Linked DNA regions of Anolis sagrei. The protein of the gene in region 1 interacts with the protein of each later gene in a pairwise test. Links are inferred from orthologs where the notes say so. Each region holds a gene or a part of one and is shown on either strand. Other genes may lie near its edges.

Region 1 (8,373 bases):
CTGCATTGTCTGTAGCTTTAAACAGTTCTTCCTCTGTGCATGAGGCAGGGTAGTGTGGGCAAGCATACAGATGCTGAGTTGTTTGTTCTGCTCCACAGTTGCACAAGGTGGAGGATTCTTCTAGGTAGTGCCATTTTGCTAGGTTGTCTTTTGTTTTGAGTCTGTTCAAGGACTTCCAAGTTTCTCATTCTTGGTTTGCCCTGGAAGAAGACCCTCATGGGAGGCATCCAGTTGGAATTGCCTGATTTTTGCTGCCCACAGGGATACTCTTGCTGTTGCTGGGGGAACGTTAAGAGGAGTGGTGGTTCTTATGAAACTTTTCCTTGATTTGAGTCTGCTGGGAGGAGACTGATAGCCATATAGTGGGTTTCCAATGCCGAGCGGAGATTCAAACCTTGTCTCTAGAGTTGTAGTCCAACACTCAAACAACTACATCACACTGGCTCCAAATTAGTTGAGGAACTATATACTTACTTACTGTTACTAACAGTATGTACTCATGTATAAGTCTAGAAATTTAAGCTAAAATTCAAACCAGGCCAACTTATCTATGGTTCCATGTAAGTACTACCTTAATTCTTACACAGCCCAATGAAAAAAATAATTCTTGGTATCTTGGTTTTTAATTGGGTTGAATTTAAATGCATTAACTTGCTTTACTGCATTTGGTTCTGTGCTCAATTAGTGATTAGTAGTCTTCCATTACATGGGTAAATTAGGAGCCCCCGGTGGCGCAGTGGGTTAAAGCACTGAGCTGCTGAACTTGCTGACCAAAAGGTCACATGTCCAAATCCAGGGAGCAGCGTGAGCTCCCGCTGTTAGCCCCAGTTTCTGCCAACCTAGCAGTTTGAAAACATGCAAATGTGAGTAGATCAATAGGTACTGTTCCCAGTGGGAAAGTAATGGCGCTCCATGCAGTCATGCTGGCCACATGACCTTGGAGAAGTCTACGGACAATGTCGGCTCTTTGGCTTAGAAATGAAGATGAGCACCAACCTTTACCCTTTACCTTGGTTTTTAAGTCTGTTCCTGGAATTATTTGGAGTGCTGATTAAGAAAACTACATTGGATAGAACACATCAGCTCTAGCTTCTCAGATTTGTTTATCATGGTTTTATATAGTAAATGTCAACTGGTAGATGCCATCTGTTCTGTCTCTCAAAAATTGGAACTGAAGCATCGACAGGGGGAATCAGCAGGTCAAATATACCCACAAACAGAATGAACATTTGAGCGCCAAAATGTGTTTTGGCCATTGTTGTCATTAAAGACAACATCCCCTTCTCTGACTAGAGTGGTTAAAAGCAAGAGCTTTAGTCCATTCTGGGAGAATCTAACAGAAGCACCGACTCTATCTATTCTCTCTGATATAGAAACAATTTTGGTATTTATGAATGACTGAGCAGAAAAATGATGGCCAAGGATGGTCAGCCCCCAGGAGGCAGCATTGAAACTTTCCCCTTTCCGTTGAATGAATAAAAATCAATTATTTTGGTCCCAAAGCCTACTCATGACTTATACATATGGCCAGCATATACATGGGAATATATTGTACTTTCGTCCCAATGAAGAATCCAAAACTGGCTAACAGCACCTATTAACACCAAGTTTGGCTAAAAAAAGCAAATGACCTCAAGCACAGATGAACAAATTTAAAAGAACTTTTCAAAAGGTAGTCACATTGAAACCAACCACAGGATTAATATGATGTAAAAGCATTCGAAACCTAAAGAGTGAGGGAGTGCAACACCCACTTTTCCTTCTTTCAGAAGCCCTGCACCTCAAGTACATTTTGCAGAATGAAGTGACAGGTGGTTTTTCATGCTACTGTTGCATCTGTTACATTCCTGTATGTCAGAGGGGCCTACAGAGGGGGAAAAAAATAGAAATTTACTATTTCTCTGTCTTCTAGTTTCTTTCAGGGTGGGCCCATTTTGCTGAGGAAAAGGACAAGTTACTTTCCCTTTCCAGCAGCCTACACCAGGCAGTTTTATTTTAATTCAACACTTTTTTGCTTTACCACCCTTGAGAGCAACTATTTCATCTGATTCGCTGTGTGGCACACACTGGATTGCTCCCCGAAGAGAGAGGCCAGGCTGGGAGACTCACAAGGAATGGCAAGAGCAATTTCCTTCCCTGTGTAGAAGTTGAATTGTCAACCTACTCATCACTTCCAGAAAGAGACATGTTTGTAAGCAGCTGAACTGGATCCCAGTCCACATCACAGTACATCACGGTACAATTCAATATGTTGGTTTTAAAATTTAATAGCCTTTCTGGCTGGGCATCCTTCATTGAGGTTGTCTTCCAAAGTTCACTTCCAGATGCCTGCCTTTGGATGATGAATTCAGTGATAACGGGCGCGACTGGTGATGGTGACTAGGGCTGGATCTACACTGCCCTATATCCCAGGATTTGATCCAAGATTATCTGTTTTGGACTGGATTATATGAGTCCACATATTCTGGGATCAAATCCTGAGATATAGGGCAGATCCAGCTGTAGTGCCCTTCCACACAGCAATATAACACAGAATATCAAGGCAGAACTTCCCACAATATCTGCTTTGAACTGGGTTATTTGAGTCCATACTGCTATATATTCCAGTTCAAAGCAGATCATGTGGGATTTTATTCAGCTATGTGGAAGGAGCCTTCTTAGGGCCCTTCTGCACAGCCATATAACCCAGAATATCAAGGCAGGTCACTTGATGGCCTGATAGGTGTATTGTGTCCAAATTTGGTGCCAATTCATACAGTAGTTTTTGAGTTATGTTAATCCCACAAACGAACCTTACATTTTTATTTATATAGGCTAGCCATCCCCTGCCATGCTTTGCTGTGGCCCAGTCTGTGTATATGTGTGTATATATTTGTGTATATTTGTATATGTGTATGGTTTTGTGCATGTGTTATAATTTTTTTGTTGTTTTTTGGCTTTTTAAGTCCCTTCCACTGTGTTTTTCAGTGTTTTATGAATGATGGTCACTAGTTGGCCTGATAGGTGTATTGTGTCCAAATTTGGTGTCAATTCATCCAGTGGTTTTTGAGTTCTGTTAATCCCACAAATGAACATTACATTTTATTTATATAGAAGATTAGCTGTCCTCTGCCACACGTTGCTGTGGCCCACATGGGGGTTCTGTGTGGGAGGTTTGGCCCAATTCTATCGTTGGTGTGGTTCAGAATGCTCTGTGATTGTAGGTGAACTATAAATCCCAGCAACTACCACTACCAAATGTCAAGATTCTACATATTTTCCCCAAACTCCAACAGTGTTCACATTTGGGCATATTGAGTATTTGTGTAGAGTTTGGTCCAGATCCATCATTGTTTGAGTCCACAGTGCTCTCCAGATGTAGGTGAACTACAACTCCCAAACTCAATGCCCACCAAATCCTTCCAGAATTTCCTGTTGGCTGTGGGAGTCCTATGTGCCAAGTTTGGTTCAATTCCATCATTGGTGGGGTTCAGGATGCTCTTTGATTGTAGGTGAACTATAAATCCCAGTAAGTACAAATCCCAAATGTCAAGGTCTATTTTCCCCAAACACCATCTGTGTTCATATTTGAGCATATTGAGTGCTTGTGCCAAGTTTGGTCTAGATCCATCATTGTTTGAGTCCACAGTGCTCTCCAGATGTAGGTGAACTTCAGCTCCCAAACTCAATGCCCACCAAACCCTTCCAGAATTTCCTGTTGGCTGTGGGAGTCCTATGTGCCAAGTTTGGTTCAATTCCATCGTTGGTGGGGTTCAGGATGCTCTTTGACTGTAGGTGAACTATAAATCCCAGCAACTACAATTCCCAAATGACAAAATCAAAACTTTTTGAGTGAAGAACAAACATTGGGTTGTTAGGTATATGCTGTCCAAATTCGGTGTCAATTCGTCCAGTGGTTTTTGAGTTCTGTTAATCCCACAAACGAACATTACACTTTTATTTATATAGATAGATAGAAGATGGCAACAAAAACAATGTTATGCTTGGTGGTCACCACAACATGAGGAACTGCATGAAGGGGTGGCGGCATTAGGGAGGTTGAGAATCACTGGTGTAGATGCACCCTCTGAGAACTGAACCGGGCAAGTTCAGACCACATCTGGAATACTGTGTCCAATTCTGGGCACCACAATTCAAGAGAGATATTGACAAGCTGGAATGTGTCCAGAGGAGGGCGACTAAAATGATCAAGGGTCTGGAGAACAAGCCCTATGAGGAGCGGCTTAGGGAACTGGGCATGTTTAGCCTGAAGAAGAGAAGGCTGAGAGGAGATATGATAGCCATGTATAAATATGTGAGAGGAAGCCACAGGGAGGAGGGAGCAAGCTTGTTTTCTGCTTCCTTGGAGACTAGGACGCGGAACAATGGCTTCAAACTACAAGAGAGGAGATTCCATCTGAACATTAGAAAGAACTTCCTGACTGTGAGAGCCGTTCAGCAGTGGAACTCTCTGCCCCGGAGTGTGGTGGAGGCTCCTTCTTTGGAAGCTTTTAAGCAGAGGCTGGATGGCCATTTGTCAGGGGTGATTTGAATGCAATATTCCTGCTTCTTGGCAGGGGGTTGGACTGGATGGCCCATGAGGTCTCTTCCAACTCTTTGATTCTATGATTCTATGAAGTGGGACAGACTCCCTTTCCCCTCCAGCCTGTTTCCAGCTTCCTTCCCTCCAAACCCATCAAGCTGGGAGATAGTTTCCAAGATGACTCACAGGGCGAATGGCAGCGCGTCCAGGCTGTCACCCATCCCCAGCCAGGCGGCAAGCTCTTGCTTGCGCCGCTTCCCCTTTCCGACTCAGCCCTCCTCCTCCTCCTCCTCCTCTCTTTGCCTTGTTATGGAAAGCCGGTGGGCGTGGCCGATCCTCTCCGAAGCCCCGCCCACATCCCCGCCCCCGCCCCGCCCCCTTCCCTCCAAGCCGGGACCGCAATGATTTAGAAGTTCAGGAATCCCACGTGACGTCACGGAGGGGTGATGTAATGCTTCTCTAAATAGATCGTATTGTAACCTTCGCGCAGTCCAACGTGGTTCCTCCGCTCGGGCTGTTGGTCCCTTCGCCTTGCACTTGTTGGGTAAGTCCCGAAAAAGACCCAAAGCGCTCCCGGCTGGGTGCTTTCTTGCCTTTCTTCCTTTTTCTCCCCGAACCCTGGAATGTTTTGAAAACTCCTGAAGTTGTGGCTTTTGCAGAAAGAAAGATTGGAAGAGTTGGACTTTTTTGTTTTTTTTACTTTATTCAGCGACAGGGAAGGAAGGGAGAAGGACAAACGCTGAGCGGAGAAAGAGGCCAAAGTAGAGTAAAGGGAGCTTTTATTTCCTTTCGTGTTGTTTCTCGCGCGTGTTTCAAGGCGATGGGTTGGAGGGTTTGCCGCTTTGGGAAGATCTGGGAAAGGGGAAGATGCGGCCAAAGCTCCCCCCCCCCCCCAAGTGTCATTCCATGGGAATCAAACCCTTTGGAGTCCCATCAACCTGGCCTGAAAGTTTGGAGGCGCCAAAAAAAGCACCAGGAAGACCCCACGCGTGGGCTGAGCCCCTTCCCCTTCTAAAGGCTGCTTTAGTTGGAGAAGGCGCTCTGTATACGCTCAGGAACAGTTTACTCGACTTGGCGTCTCTTGCCGCCTTGTTTCGGGAGACCCAACCTAAGTTGTTGTAGGTTTTTCTGATTATATGGCCGTGTTCTAGAAGCATTCTCTCCTGACGTTTCGCCTGCATCGATGGCAGGCACCCTCAAAGACCTCGCAATGGCCTGAGCCCCTTCCCCTTCTAAAGGCTGCTTTAGTTGGCGAAGGCACTCTGTATGCGCTCAGGAACTGTCTTCTCGCCTTGCCATCGCTTGTCGTCTTATTTCGGGAGACCTAACCTAGGTTGCTGTAGGTTTTTCGGGCTATATGGCCATGCTCTAGAAGCATTCTCTCCTGACGTTTCGCCTGCATCGATGGCAGGCACCCTCAAAGACCTCGCAATGGCCTGAGCCTCTTCCCCTTCTAGTTGGCGAAGGCGCTCTGTATACGCTCAGATACAGCCTTCTCTCCTTGCATCGCTTGTCGCCTTCTTTCGGGAGACCTAACCTAGGTTGTAGCTTTTTCGGGCTATATGGTTGTGTTCTAGAAGCATTCTCTCCTGACGTTTCTCCTGCATCGATGGCAGGCATCCTCAAAGACCTCACAACCTCTGAGAATGCCTAACACAGATGCAGGCGAAACCTCAGAAGAGAATGCTTCTACAACATCGCCATATAGCCCGAAAAACCTACAACAACCCAGTGATTCCGGCCACCAAAGCCTTCGACAATACATTAGCCGTAACCTAGGCTTGCCCCCCCCCCCCTTTTAAGGCAAAGAGAGCTGTCAATATTTGGGGTGCATGACTTATTGTGAGTTTCCCGGGCTGTATGGTTGTGTTCCGGAAGCATTCTCTCCTGACGTTTCGCCTGCATCGATGGCAGACTTCACAACCTCTGAGGATGCCTGCCACAGATGCAGGCGAAACGTCAGGAGAGAATGCTCCTAGAACATGGCCATACTGCCCGAAAAACTTACAACAACCTAGTGATCCCGGCCATGAAAGCCTTCGACAATACATTAGACCTAACCTTGACTTGCCCCTCCCCCCTTTAAGGCAAAGAGAGTGGTCAACATTTGGGGTGCATGATGGGAGTTGAAGTCCAAAACACCTGAAAGGCCCAAGCTTGCCCATGCCTGGCCTAGATGCATCCAAATGTATTGTCGAAGCTTTCGTGGCCGGAATCACTGTTTTGTTGTGAGTTTCCAGGGCTGTATGGCTATGTTTCATAAGCACACTCTCCTGACGTTTCGCCTGCATCTGTGGCAGGCATCCTCAGGGGTTGTGAGGTCTTTGAGGATGTACTGTCGAAGGCTTCCATGGCTGGAATCACTGGGTTGTTGTAGGTTTTTTGAGCTATATGGCCATGCTCCAGAAGCATTATTTCCTGGCGTTTCGCCTACATTTATGGCAGGCATCCACAGAGGTTGCGAGTTCCGAAAAATCTACAACTCTTTGAGGATGCCTGCCATTGATGCAGGCGAAAGGTCAGGAGAGAATGCTTCTTGGACGTGGCCATACAGCCCGGAAAAGTCACAACAAACTAGTGATTCCGGCCACGAAAGCCTTCGACAATACATTTGGGTGCATCTAGCCTAGGCATGGGCAAACTTGGGACCTTCAGGTGTTTTGGACTTCAACTCCCATCATTCCTAACAGCCTCAGGCCCCTTCCTTTTCCCCCTCAGCCGCTTAAGCGGCTGAGGGGGAAAAGGAAGGGGCCTGAGGCTGTTAGGAATGATGGGAGTTGAAGTCCAAAACACCTGAAGGTCCCAAGTTTGCCCATGCTTGATATCAATGCTATGGAATCATAAGAGTTATAGCTTGACCCGATCTTCTTTGGGACTCAAACTTTTCGACTGCGGTCCACCCCCTTGGGCTGTCAAACCCCGGCGCTGTTGTCGATCTATCTATTTGGTTGCTAGGCGGTTGCCTGGCTCTGCTCCTCCTGCCCCCCCTCCCCTCCCCTCCCCTCCCCCCGGGACCGGGTCGCCCCCGCCCAGTCTGACATTATCTTTGGGAGCCTGGGCCATGACGTCATGCTGCAGGCGAGCGGGAGAGTCCGGGGCTGATTCAGAGGCGCCGAAGACCGGGGCTCACGGGGAACGAGGCAGCCGGGGAGGCTGAGCCCAAGCAGGGCTTACCTGGGCCGAGACCAAGGCCAACCCCGGCTGGGTCCTTGGCTGGGAAGGAGGGAGGGAGGGAGGGAGATCTCCCCGCTCCACGCCGCTTTCTCCCGCGGGAGAGCCTGGGCGCGTGGGCGGGGGAATACCTGCTGGGTCCTGCGTCCCGATCGCCTCTCGACAACTTCCCGGCAGCAAAGGCAGGCGTTTCTTCCCTTCCTCCCAATCCGGCGCTGTTGCACCAAGGGAGCAGGTAAGCGACGCTGGAAGTTTCTCCGGTGCGCCAGCGACGGGATGAGGAAAAGTTTCTGAAGTCGCTACAGTCAAGTTGCAGTGCTCGCGAAACGGAGTTTCCTTGGACTCCCTTCCTTCCTTCTCCACTCTTTCCCTCTTCCCTTCCTCACTCTTTCTTTCCTAGCTCTTCCTTCCTTCCTTCCTTCCTTCCTTCCTTCCTTCCTTCCTTCCTTCCTCACTCTTTCATTCCTTCCTTCCTTCCTTTCCTGGTTAGTTAAAACTGTTGGAAGACATTGTACCATGCCGGTGATAGCTTTCTTTCCTAGCTCTCTCTTCTTTCCCTTCCTCCCTCCCTTTCCTTCTTTCTTTCTTCACTCTTCTTTACTTCCTTCCTTCCTTCCTTCGTTTCCTGGTTAGTCAAAACTGTTCGAAGACAAACCAGTTAAGGCATTGTGCCATGCCAG
Region 2 (8,072 bases), on another chromosome or scaffold:
GAAGAGATCCAAAGGACCATCCAGTCCAACCCCTTTCTGCTAGGCAGGAAGATATTATCGAAGCCCTCCCAACAGATGGCCATCCAGCCTCTGCTGAATAACCTTCAGAAGGGACTCTATCATTATAATTATGATCAAATATGATGACGATAGAATTCTACAGTTTGAAGAGATCCAAAGGACCATCAGTCCAACCCCATTCTGCGAGACCAGAAGACACAATCAGAGCCCTCCCAACAGATGGCCATCCAGCCTCTGCTTCAAAACCTCCAGAGAAGGAGGTCCCATCATCAAAGATTATTATGAAAGAATCACAAAGATGGAAGAAATTCCAAGAGCCATCCAGTTCGAACCCAATTCTTCCAGGAAGGAAGACACAATAAAAGCTCTCCTGACAGATGGCCAATCACCCTCTGCTGAAAAACCTCCAGAGAGGCAGATTCCATCATCGTCAAAGATTATTATGAAAGAATCGTAAAGACAGAAGAGATCTTAAGGGCCATCCAGTTCAACTCCCTTCTACCAGGAAGGAAGACACACTCAAAGCCCTCTTGACAGATGTCCATGCAGCCTCTGCTGAATAACCTCCAGAGGAGACTTCATCATTATAATTATGACAAAATACGATGATGATACAATACTAGAGTTGGAAAAGACCCCAAGGGCCATCCAGTTCAGGAAGAAAGACACCATCAAAGCCCTCCCAACAGATGGCCATCCAGCCTCTGCTGAATAACCTCCAGAGGAGACTCCATCATTATAATTATAATAAAATACAATGATAATGATGATGATGATGATGATGATGATAATAATGATAGAATACTAGAGTTGGAAGAGACCCCAAGGGTCATCCAGTACAGAAAGGAAGACACACTCAAAGCCCTCTTGACAGATGGCCATCCAGCCTGTGCTGAAAAACCTCCAGAGGAGACTCCATCATTATAATTATGATTAAATACGATGATGATGATGATGATGATGATGATGATGATGATGATAGAATACTAGAATTGGAAGAGACTCCAAGGGCCATCCAGTCTAGGAAGAAAGACACAATCAAAGCCCTCCCGACAGATGGCCATCCAGCCTCTGCTGAATAACCTCCAAATGCTACTCCATAATTATAATTATGATCAAATATGATGATGATAGAATATTAGAGCTGGGAGAGACTCCAAGGGCCATCCAGTCCAGGAAGAAAGACACCGTCAAAGCCCTCCCAACAGATGGCCATCCAGCCTCTGCTGAATAACCTCCAGATGATACTCCATAATTATAATTATGATCAAATATGATGACAATAGAATATTAGAGTTGGAAGAGACCCCAAGGGCCATCCAGTCTAGGAAGAAAGACATCATCAAAGCCCTCCCGACAGATGGCCACGCAGCCTCTGATTAACCTCAATGCTCAATGAAATATCCTTCCTAATATTTAAACATGGCTCTCGTCACTCTGTACATGCTCAGTCAAACTGCATTCATCGTACAGATGCACTCTTTCTGCACTGACTAGTTGATGCAGTTCGATGCTGGCTTCCCTGGGTGAGAGTGAGTTTCACGGTCGAGGTTTCCCCGCCTTGGTTGGGCTCCAAAGGGGGAAAATAGGGGATTTCCCTGCCTTGCCGGCCCACGAGTTTGTGAGTCACCCTCCTGAATGCCATCTGGATCAGGCCGGCAGGACGAACACGTGTCTCTCGGCATGGAGTAACTGGGGATTTGGCCTACTTTTCATAGCAACTCTCAAGCAACCAGAAAAGACATTTATCTGGCATCTACCAAAACCCATGGGTGCCGGTTAACTGGGAGTCTGCAATATTAGATCCATTTTATAGTAACTCTCAAGCAACCAGAAATGACATTTATCTGGCATTTCCCAAAACCCATGGGCGCCAGTTAACTGAGAGTCTAATATGTTAGGTCTATTTTCATAGTAACTTTCAAGTAACCAGAAATGACATTTATCCAGCATCTACCAAAACCCATAGGTGCTGGTTAACTGAGAGTATTTTAAGTCTATATTTCATAGTAACTCTCAAGTAACCAGAAAAGACATTTACCCAGCATCTACCAAAACCCATGGGGTGCCAGTTAACTGAGAGTCTTTATGTTCAGTCCATGTTTATACCAACTCTCAAGCAACCAGAAATGACATTTATCTGGCATTTGCCAAAACCCATGGGCGCCAGTTAACTGAGAGTCTAATATGTTAGGTCTATTTTCATAGTAACTTTCAAGTAACCAGAAATGACATTTATCCAGCATCTACCAAAACCCATAGGTGCTGGTTAACTGAGAGTATTTTAAGTCTATATTTCATAGTAACTCTCAAGTAACCAGAAAAGACATTTACCCAGCATCTACCAAAACCCATGGGGTGCCAGTTAACTGAGAGTCTTTATGTTCAGTCCATGTTTATACCAACTCTCAAGCAACCAGAAATGACATTTATCTGGCATTTGCCAAAACCCATGGGCGCCAGTTAACTGAGAGTCTAATATGTTAGGTCTATTTTCATAGTAACTTTCAAGTAACCAGAAATGACATTTATCCAGCATCTACCAAAACCCATAGGTGCTGGTTAACTGAGAGTATTTTAAGTCTATATTTCATAGTAACTCTCAAGTAACCAGAAAAGACATTTACCCAGCATCTACCAAAACCCATAGGTGCTGGTTAACTGAGAGTCTGTTAAGTCTATTTTTCATAGTAACTCTCAAATAACCAGAAATGACATTTATCCAGCATCTACCAAAACCCATGGGTGCCGGTTAACTGGGAGTCTGTGATATTAGGGCCATTTTATAGTAACTCTCAAGCAACCAGAAATGGCATTTATCCAGCATCTCCCAAAACCCATGAGTGCCAGTTAACTGAGAGTCTAATATGTTAGGTCTATTTTCATAATTTGTGTGTGTGTGTGTGTGTGTGTGAGAGAGAGAGAGAGTGTGTGTGTATATATATATATATATATATATGATTTATTTATTCACGACATTAAGGGAACTCAGAGCTTACAAGATATATATAAATAGAATATATTATATTATTAGCATAGTACAATATCAGTATTAAATATTACTATATTGTACTATACCATTATATTGTCATATTAGTAATATTACTAATATTACTATGATAATTATAATATCATATTATTAGTATTTGTATTATATTGCATTACATCATAATATTATAATATATATATAGACATACCTACACATTATATATATATATATATATATAAAATATTGTATATATTATATATAATATTATGATTTATATATAGACATACATACATGTAATATATATAGTATACATTATATATAATATTGTATATGTAATATATAATATAATATATATAGACATACATACACATAATATATAATATACATAGTATATATAATATAGTATATATAATGTATAATATTATAATATATAGACATACATACACATAATATATATAATATAATATATAGACATACATACACATAATATATAATATACATAGTATATATAATATAGTATATATAATGTATAATATTATAATATATAGACATACATACACATAATATATATAATATAATATATATAGACATACATACACATAATATATAATATACATAATATATAATATAGTATATATAATGTATAATATTATAATATATAGACATACATACACATAATATATATAATATAATATATAGACATACATACACATAATATATATAATATAATATATATAGACATACATACACATAATATGTAATATATATAATATATTAGTATATATAATGTATAATATTATAATATATAGACATACATACACATAATATATATAATATAATATATATAGACATACATACACATAATATATAATATACATAATATATAATATTGTATATATAATGTATAATATTATAATATATAGATATACATGTTGTTGTTCATTCGTTCAGTCGTCTCCGACTCTTCGTGACCTCATGGACCAGCCCACGCCAGAGCTCCCTGTCGGCCGTCACCACCCCCAGCTCCTTCAAGGTCAGTCCATAGATATACATACACATAATATATAATATACATAATATATAATATTATATATATAATGTATAATATTATAATATATAGATATACATACACATAATATATAATATACATAATATATAATATTATATATATAATGTATAATATTATAATATATAGATATACATACACATAATATATAATATACATAATATATATATGATTGTATATAATTATATACATACATACATATATACATACACATACACATATGCACACAAATATATATTATACTACCATTGATTCAATAGCATAAGCAGACATAACAGAGTAGGTTACTGACCTGTATAGCTCATTGCTTGGATGCCGGTTAACTGAGAGTCTACTTGCAATAATTAATTAATTAATTAATTAATTGCGCCCACTGCCTCTTGGAAGGAGGCTTGTGAAGCGAAACCTATTTTCCAATCAAAGGCGCAGGTGGGAAACCTGCCCAAAGGGGAACCCTTTCCCAGGCCAGCCCAACAGGAAGAAACCAAGGCCATGTAAGGGCATCTACGTCACCGCCCCCTGAGTCACCTTTTGGAACGAACCAAGCGGCTCTCGGCAATGGGGGGAACCGCCGCTCAGGGGATCCTCATTTGTGGATCGGAGAGGGATCCTTTTGGACAGGGAGTGGGCATTCAGGGACGGGGTCTCTCCCTTTCCCACAAACGAGGCTGGGAACCCCAAGCCAGAAAGCCTGAATGGCTGTTTTGGTTTCTCTCCCATCTCGGCCACCCCCAAAGTGAGTGAGAGTAACGTGGTCCGGGAGTCCCCATTCATAAAAAAAGCAGTCAAGGGGACTAGAAGAGCTCTTTGGGAGCGTGAGAGCCTCATTGGCAAGGCTGAGATGTTCAAGGGTTTCGGAAGGGGAGCCCCTCGGCCAGGATCACAGCAGCAGCAGCAGGTAAGGCACTCTGCACATGCCCCAGAGCTCTCTCCATCTGGGGTTCTCCTCTCCTATCCCCCCAAAACTCTCCCCCCACGTGGCTCTCCCTGGTAAGGCTTGGCTCACCTTTTCCCCAGATCCAGGGAGAGGGAAGGAGGGTGTGGGGCTCGGTATCCGCGGTGGTTGGGTCCCAGGTCCCCCATATCCGCGGGTGCTCAAGTCCCATTCTATTCAATGGCATGATGCAAGGGGATCTCTTTCACTACACAACTGTACTCTCAAGGTCTGCCCTTTGGGATGCCTCTACCATCTCTTTCTATCATGTCTATGTTCTCTCATTTCTCTCACATCTTATGAGATAGTACAATCATCATCATCATAATATAATACATAATATATAATATAATATAATATTATAATAATATAATATAATATAATAATACCAATAGTATAATATGTTGGGAGTGTATTCTATTGTGGCATCATAATACAATACAATATTATATATAAGAATATGATAATTTTATATTGTCTATATATAATATAGATAATATAAAATTAATTATAAAATATAATATTATATATAATATATAAAATTAAATATAAAATATAAAATATAATATAGATAATATAAAATTAAATATAAAATATAATATTATATATATATATAATATAGATAATATAAAATTAAATACAAAATATAAAATATAATATATAAAATTAAATATAAAATATAGATAATATAAAATTAAATATAAAATATAAAAATAATATAATATAGATAATATAGATAATATAAAATTAAATATAAAATATACATAATATATATAATATAGATAATATATAAAATTAAATACAAAATATAATATAGATAATATAAAATTAAATATTATATATATAATATATAATATTAAATATTATATATATATAATGATATAAAATTAAATATAAATATAAAATATAATATGATATAGATAATATAGATAATATAAAATTAAATATAAAATATACAAAATATATATAATATATAAAATTAAATATAAAATATAAAATATAATATAGATAATATAAAATTAAATACAAAATATATAATATAATATATAAAATAGATAATATAAAATTAAATATAATATATATAATATATAAAATTAAATATAAAATATACATAATAACAACAATTTTATTGATTAGCCAATTGGCCTTATCAAGTAATATATATATTATATATAGATTTAAGTATAAAATATACATAATATATATATGAGGAAGAACTTCCTGACTGTGAGAGCCGTTCAGCAGTGGAACTCTCTGCCTCGGAGTGTGGTGGAGGCTCCTTCTTTGGAAGCTTTTAAGCAGAGGCTGGATGGCCATCTGTCAGGGGTGATTTGAATGCAATATCCCTGCTTCTTGGCAGAATGGGGTTGGACTGGATGGCCCATGAGGTCTCTTCCAACCCTTTGATTCTATGATTCTATGATTCCCTATGATATATATATATATAATATATATAAAATTAAATATAAAATATATAATATATTATAAAATATATATATTAATTATATATAAATATAAAATTAAGTAGAAAATATACATAATATATATAATATATAAAATTAAATATAAAATATATAATATAATATATAAAATTATATATAAAATTATATATAGATAATATAAAATTAAATAGAAAATATATAATATAATATATAAAAATTATTTTATATTTAATTTTATATTATATATATATTACATAAAATTAAATATAAAATATATAATATAATCTAATATATAAAAATTATATATAAAAATGATATATAGATAATATAAAATTAAGTATAAAATATACATAATATAGGTTCTTGTGGGTTTTTTTGGGCTATATGGCCATGGTTTAGAGGCATTCTCTCCTGACGTTTCGCCTGCATCTATGGCAAGCATCCTCAGAGGTAGTGAAAGAACAAGAGTTCTTTCTTCCACCCTGGACATTATTCCACAGACTTGTTTAGTTTCCAACAGCACAACAACAGAGAGGAAACAAACAAGGACACCTAATCACCTCTCAACAAAAGTTTGCTCCAGGCACTGCCAGGCCATTATATGCTAATCAAGGTGGTCAGTTGAAACATTCACACCTAGCTCCAACAGACAAGAGTCCTTTGTCCCACCCGGGTCATTCCACAGATATATAAACCCATTTTCCTAGTTCCAACAGACCTCACTACCTCTGAGGATGCTTGCCATAGATGCAGGCGAAACGTCAGGAGAGAATGCCTCCAGACCTTGGCCATATAGCCCGAAAAAACCTACAACAACCCAGGATTATTATTATTATTATTATTATTATTATTATTATTATTGTTATCATAGAGAGAGATGCTGTTTACTCCTGTTGTATCCCACCTCAAGCCACAAGAAGAGGAGAGTAATTGATATTAATACTAATACTGTGACTCAAGGTGGAATACAACAGGATTATTATTATTATTATTATTATTATTATTATCATCACCATAGAAAGAAAGAGCCCCCAGCGACCCTAACCTTGTGCCGGCAAGTCTGTGGACTGAAAGCTTGGCAGCTCAGATCCGGGAAGCGAGGTGAGCTTCCATCTGTCAGCTCCAGCTTCTTATGCAGGGACATGAGCAAAACCTCCCACAGGATGGTAAAACCTGTTTATTATTTATTTATTTATTACCCATTTTTTTCTCTCTAAAAAAGAAACTCAAAGCGGTTTACGATTAAACCAATTTTTTAAAAAAACATAATTCAATATTAACGGCATCGGGTTGCTGTGAGTTTTCCAGGCTGTGTTCCAGAAGCATTCTCTCCTGATGTTTCGCCCACATCTCTGGCAGGCATCGTCAGAGGTTGTGAGGTCTGTTGGAAAGTAGGAAAGTGGAGTTTATATATCTGTGAAATAATGCCCAGGGTGGAAGAAAGAACTCTTGTCTGTTGGAGGCAAGTGTGAATATTGCCATTGGCCAGCTTGATTAGCATTGAATGGCCTTGCAGCTTCAAAGCCTGGCTTCTACCTGCCTGGAGGGAATGCTTTGTTGGGAGGTGTTAGCTGGCCCTCATAGAATCATAGAATCAAAGAGTTGGAAGAGACCTCATGG

The links.
Region 2: the proteins of CREB5 (region 1) and FOSL1 interact in binary tests that used the Homo sapiens proteins (3 or more experiments, as listed by UniProt). The two-hybrid records come from large-scale screens. The link is inferred for Anolis sagrei from reciprocal best matches to the Homo sapiens genes CREB5 and FOSL1.

Annotation. Positions count from the first base shown.
Region 1 is NC_090026.1:90,392,554-90,400,926, reverse strand, and holds the start of CREB5 (cyclic AMP-responsive element-binding protein 5), read left to right. Parts: upstream 1-4,978; 5' UTR 4,979-5,066; intron 5,067-5,197; exon of another isoform or gene 5,198-5,283; intron 5,284-7,609; exon of another isoform or gene 7,610-7,928; intron 7,929-8,373. UniProt on the Homo sapiens protein: Binds to the cAMP response element and activates transcription.
Region 2 is NC_090032.1:9,501,560-9,509,631, reverse strand, and holds the start of FOSL1 (fos-related antigen 1), read left to right. Parts: upstream 1-4,805; 5' UTR 4,806-4,917; coding exon 4,918-4,974; intron 4,975-8,072.